Linked DNA regions of Drosophila melanogaster. The protein of the gene in region 1 interacts with the protein of each later gene in a pairwise test. Each region holds a gene or a part of one and is shown on either strand. Other genes may lie near its edges.

The links. The genes of interacting proteins can lie anywhere in the genome.
Region 2: the proteins of CG34173 (region 1) and CG17580 interact in a two-hybrid assay, tested with the Drosophila melanogaster proteins (one large-scale study listed by BioGRID).

The regions. Positions count from the first base shown.
Region 1 is NT_033779.5:22,053,285-22,056,017, reverse strand, and holds CG34173 (uncharacterized protein), read left to right. Parts: upstream 1-1,715; 5' UTR 1,716-1,846; intron 1,847-1,900; 5' UTR 1,901-1,905; coding exon 1,906-2,043; 3' UTR 2,044-2,184; downstream 2,185-2,733.
Region 2 is NT_033778.4:12,804,748-12,808,352, reverse strand, and holds CG17580 (uncharacterized protein), read right to left. Parts: upstream 1,740-3,605; 5' UTR 1,656-1,739; coding exon 1,434-1,655; 3' UTR 1,319-1,433; intron 1,264-1,318; 3' UTR 1,124-1,263; intron 1,067-1,123; 3' UTR 542-1,066; downstream 1-541.

The sequences.
Region 1 (2,733 bases):
TGCACCTGGGAAAAGGTGTGCTCCGGGTATGGCTTATGGGTTTTAGCTCCACTCCGCCGCTGCACTCGCATTCGTCCATTAAAATCCGCTACAGTGTGTCCAAAACACGGGCAGGACTCCTGCTGCACGGCCGGTCCGTTTATTTATTATTAACACCAAAAAGACCCCGAGGACGAATTGCAGTGCTCCTCCGGCACCGCCTCCGGCTCCAGCTCCAGCAACGGATCCTGGACCGAGACTTGGAATGCGCAAACTGCCCTTAGTAGCAGCCGCCTACTCATATTTCGTTGTCCTCATCGGACGAGACTCGGTACTGCAAAAATGAATCTGTTTGCGGTTCAAACACGTGCCGTGGCCAGAAATAATGTGCACCGGAATCTGCTCGGACTAATGGGCCCACAACACGGTATTTGACTTAGGCCCAGTCCAGCGTTTCCATCGGCATTGCAACCGATAAACCGCTTTGATGCTTTGTGGTCGGGAGACAAAAGAAGGCTTCAGAAACAAAAAGAGTATTTATATTTGATTATTGTTTGTTTATTATTTTTACAAAAATGTGAACTTGTTCAATTTGAGCGAAATACGCAGATATTTTTACTAACAATACAAACACACAATCTATTTATGCATTAAGTTTTTAAAGCGTGACTTAACTTCACTTAACGTGCAATACAACTTAATATTTCTAAATTTATTTAAAGAATATTTATTAGAACGTATCATTCCACATATAATATTTTTAATTGAATGAGAATAAAAGCTATGACTGATTTAGGAGCTTGGAAACGTATAAGTCCTTTTTGTCTACACCATGGTTAAGGTTACTAGTTGGCTTAAGCAGCCAGTTAAGTTAGCCCGACATAAAGCTGCGATTTTCATTGTAATCTGTTCCAGGCGAGCCGCTTGTCCAGGATCAGACCCAAATACTGCGCCTGTGGTGATTATGGAATGGTGTTCCCTTAAAAAAGAAACTGCTGTGGCCAATTTTAAGCTATTTATAAATAAGCAGTTACTTATAAAGAAAGCCATCAGGCAAACCACGGATGAAAGCTTCCTGAACGTCCAGGAAATCCTGTGGTGCCTAAAACCAAACTGGCGGTCGGAATTATCATCCTGTTCGCTTTTTACTCCATATCTCTACTAAGACATATTCCCTTAAATAATGTATAGAAAGTAATGGAAGCTTATCCGTCGTTATGACTCGCCAAGGTTCATTGATATAAAAAAATCTGGATACGTATTACGTAACGTTGAGTTACAAAGGAGAACAAGGAACAGGATCTCTTTTTAGGCAAGGCCTTGCCAATTCTGCTGTCAATGACAACGATAATCCATCCAAGTAAAGAGCATTAAAGAAGTTTAGTGTTTCTTTAACATCTGCGGGGATCCCTAGGTCAAATGGCTGAAAGCGCTCCGCAGGCTTTTCCGCAAAAGTTAAAGAAATCTTTAAGGAGAACTTGCAAAAAAATTTCTGTGAGATTTAGTTCTTTCAGACTCCGGGTAGATTTCAAAAGTCGAAAAAACACGCAAACAGTAATTGATTAACGAATAACGTTAATATTGCCCTAGGTATTTGCTACTTTTTATTTTGCAACTTTGAGGTCCTTTTTCTCAAAATTCTCTCATAATGGTGAAAAAAATCAAAAAATAATGTGTACTATAAGCTAAACAACTTTAGTTTTTCGCCAGAACACTCAGACTGTCATTGAATAATCTATCAGAGATTGTGTCAATAATCTGATTTTTTCCCGCCTATGTTCTATATTTAAATCGTTTGAATAGGTTACCCAACCACAACACATAAGTGAAGAAAGACAAAATCTTCTAAATTAGTTAAGCAATCTATGTAAGTATGTTAAACGGTGATAAATAGCAACTAAAGCTCTGCGTACATCTGCAGTCAAGATGTTTCGCACACTGTCCATTGAGCCGATTAGAATTGAGGAGCGCTCCAAAGATGAGGTCCGTGCTAATATATTAGTGTTCGCTGTCACCTGTGCCCTTATCCGCTTTATTCCGATAATAGTGAGGAAATTATCGTAGTCAAGACCAAGGATGCGATTGTGTACTTCCGTTTTGACTGAGATAAAGCCGAATATATATATTAAAAATATTTAAATATAAACTAATAACAATTAGGTGTTATATTAAAAATAAAAACAAAAAAATATGTCGCTAAAATTGAGATCATCGACTTGTAAATACATTTTTTTAGCAATAACAAATTTTTAACAGAATGTGTCCGAAAATATGCTTAGCATATTAAGTGAAATTGGTATAAGAAATAATAATAAAAAACAACAAAACATTTTCAGAAAATTTGCTCAGTTTGGGGGTGTTTCTATGGACGTGACGATCTTTTAAAGTGAACTTGGGGCGCCGCCACTTCAGTCTGCATGCTTAATCTCAACCGGATAGCCTTTGAAGTTACCGAAAATTCGGAGTTCATAAGAACAGGCGGTCATTTCTAGGTCGGATTGCCCAAATTAAAACAAGAGAGTATACCGATCTCAAGTCAAGTTCGTCTACTATCAGATATCAGTTACTCAGGTAGTGGAAGTGCTAACGCGAATTTCATCATTTTTCTGGGATATCGATATAGATATTGGGGAATAAAATGAGAAAAAAATTAAAAATTGCCTAAAAATGTGGGCGTGGCAGTTTTTGGCGTGTTTAGGCCGTTAGAGTGGGCGTGACAAACTGGGTCGACAAACTTGCGCTGCGTCCTTGTCT
Region 2 (3,605 bases), on another chromosome or scaffold:
ATACAGAGCAAGCATTAAGATATTATTTGTGGGCTAGGTCTATTCAGTCGATGTCGAGTGCAATTATTTGCAGAATATTTAGTTCAGGGCAGGGTGCTCTTCACATTCAAAATATTCAGTCAGCCAGCCAGTGCCTTCGGGATATATTGTGCTGTATAATTTATCTAAACAGCACATTCCCGTCCGAAAATTTAAAGCCACAAAGTGTCAGACTTGACTTGCTGCGGCTGCTGCTGGCAATAAATCTTAAAGTTCATTAAAAAGTTTATTTATATTTCACCTGCTGTGTGCGAACGAAAGAAGTCTGGCAAGTGTCAAAGAAATAAAAGCTCGAATTGCCGACAAATCTTTGTTAAGCTTGACCTTGACTGATGGCCCCTCTCATAAGAAGTCGTTTTAAGATAAACCCCCAACGCACCGAAATAAATAACTTTTGTCTCGTTTAGTAGAAGCAATCAACTTCCTAAGCTGGTAATTTAAATAAAATGTGTCGTCATAAGTGTGCAATTTTAGTTTATTTATTAAAATTAGAGTTTTAATTCAAATTGTTATTTTAATTACAGCAATAGCATAAATATGTGAAATAAAAATCGTTGTACACTTTTATCAATGAATGCCATTCTCCACTTCGTTAATTAACACCAAAATAAATAGGGCCAGTGAATAATCGTAGGATTTTTTATATGCAACCCAAAATATGTGCATTCACTAGCTTCATTCAACTAAAAAGTGTTTCGCCATTGAAGAGTCAACCAGAACGCCATCAAAAGGAAGCGCTCCAATAAGTTTGAATAGCATCACAAATACACACGTCTACATGCACAAATGTATCTGCATGTGTTGCTGGAGATTGCGCGGCTTCGGCCTTGCTTTTGTAATTGTTAACAATAAAGGAGGCGGTCTAGTGTGGGGTGGGTTGTTTCATCCGGCTTTAATTAAGATCCAGCTGCTAGAATTCATGTATGACAAGTATTGGACTGCACGTAAGTTGATAGTGATATAACCAAGCTTAGCATATCACAATTCAAACAGGAGAACAGACAAATGAATAACTTTACATATGAATCTGCGAAAAGATAAGCTGGTTTATACTGCAAGGCAAATGAAAAATAATATTACAAACCCAATATTAATTATCTTCACCAACTCTGTGGAGTATATATAAAACAAACAGGCAAATGTAGACTGCGATGATAAAAAGTAAAAAGATCAAACTGATGTTTCGACAAGAAAACATAACTGGTGTATAAGTTTTAATTAAATCTAATTTGGGAAATAATTTTAAATAGTTTTCTTTAATATCTGCTGGCATACTTACTCTCGCTAAATGTAGAACAATTGCTTTCGCAGGCCAAGCTGCTTCAAATTAGTTGAAGTTCAATGGGTAATGAATTCCGCCATTTCCGTGGAAGTTTCTATATCGCCAGGAGCACTCAATCGCAACGGACGTCGTAGGAGGAGCACTCACCGAAGTCCGACTTGAGGGTGAAGTACATGCCCACACCGATGCCGATGACCATGATGAGGACTCCCAGCCAGTAGACCAGGCGCCAGAAGGGCCATGACGATGGTGGCTTCTTCTGGGGTCGGTCGGATCTCACCTCCTCCTCGTCAACTTCAACTCTTTGTGGTTGGCGGCGCAGCTTGTTTCCCATTTCCCTGGGCCTTTAACTTTCTGTACGAATTTGCTTCCCTTGGGCGATAATTGATTGGATTTTCCCTGGCAACTCGACAGCAACCGAATGATAACATTTTATTGAAATTACTTGAGCATCTCGTAGGCTGAGATTCATCTCCGATGGCGAAAACTTCTGGCTAATTATTTAAGTTAATTGGCCTTTGTCCGCAAAAGGCCTGCCCAAGCCATGATGATGATGATGGGGTGGTTAGCATTGGCCTGAAATATTTGCTCGGAGGCCACAAAATGTCTCGCAAATTTGTTCAAATTACTTGGAACACAAAACAAGAGTCGTCCGCCACTCCTCGAGATCCTTGCAGGCCCAAGTCCGTGCATAAATTTCAGAACAGGAGGTCCTGGGTGGAATACAAAAGGACTTTGTTTGCGGTCGAGAGATGAAAAGTCATTTCTCTCCATTATTTGCCAACTAATTGGTTGGTAGGACTTGTGCATTTATGTTGCTCAAATGTTTGCCCAAAGAATTCTGGAATTTGGTGAGGTGTCAAGTGGGTCTACCATCACCCTGACCTTTTGCCGTATCAATTAAATGGCCAGCTGGTCAACTGGCCAAATTGAGCAAATGAAGGATGCAACTTAATAATGGCATTCTCGTATATGCGCATATGTATGTACATATAATGCCACTTAAGCATGCCGTAGATCTCATTCTTGCCATGATTTAAGTGCATTTCGATCGGCTTTTCCAGCTTTTCCCCGTGGCTGTATCCTTTGGAGTGCTGGCGATGCCATTACTGCTTCAATTTCAGTTTCTGTTTGATGTTAATGAAAGTTTCCGTCGTGCAAATAAAGCCAAAAGCATGGAAATCAGTAAAACAAATTGCAATCTGCTTTTTATCGCACGTCGCTGCATGACTGCTGGCAGCCGGCATTTTCCTTGCTCCGTCATCGATTGCCTGGCTTTCCCCTCGACTTTTCCCTTTGCTGCTGGCCCGCCCGGCTATTGACTTGCTCATTATGGCCCTGATGATGACTGCTCTCTTGCCACAGCTACCGTTCGTTCGTGTATAGTATCTGTGTGCTTTGGTTCCGTTTCGTTTCGTTTTCAATTTTACTGCAAAAAAGGCATAGATCTCCTCATTCCGCACCCGCATTGGGGGTCGGCAATCAGGGCGGCATAAATTGTTAATATATCTTAACGGATATTCAATTTCCGTCAACCAAGAAATGCATTAAATTGGTAACAAAGCTTAGCCGCTACAACCGAACGATGGCAAAATTGTTAAGCTCCAGCGGGGTATTATTAAAAATTCAAAGTCGTTAGAGAATGGCAAAACTTTGTGCAGTCCGGGCCAAGACATAATAATAATATAGAGCCGGAGTGGAAGGACTGAAAAATAAAGAATGGCCAGGACAATGGGGAGACAACAGGCAAACTATGAACTGGGAAACTGAAAAACTGTGAGAGTGGGAAACTGGGAAACTGCAAGACTGCGAAGCTGAGATGCCGAGAAGCTCAACTATGCCCAACTTGGCTGTCCGACTGTTTATTTTCACTAGACTTCCTCTTTCCCTGGGCTTCGGCCTTATTACGCTTGGCGGCCCATCATCTGCATGGCCTTGGGGTGGGCGGTGGTGGCGATAAGTGGGCGGTGCAGATGGCAGGACGAGCAGGCAAGTTGTCAACTAAGTTTGCAACAATAATCGCCAACTTCACAGGACCTCGAATGACAGAGCTGAGGCAGCAGCAGCAGCAGCTTTCAGATAAAAACCAGAAAACAATAAGACTTTAGGCCGACTTTTATTCAGTCTTGCAAAGTTCTCCACCTCTGGCACTGCAGCGTTTACCCTCGAAAAAGCAAAGGTCCTCAAAAGGAGCAAACAGCAGCAAATAGGCTGTGCTGGCAAGGATCTCTTCAGACTTTCGAGACGTGGCACAAAGGAAAGATTGCTTTTGCTTTTTGTTTGC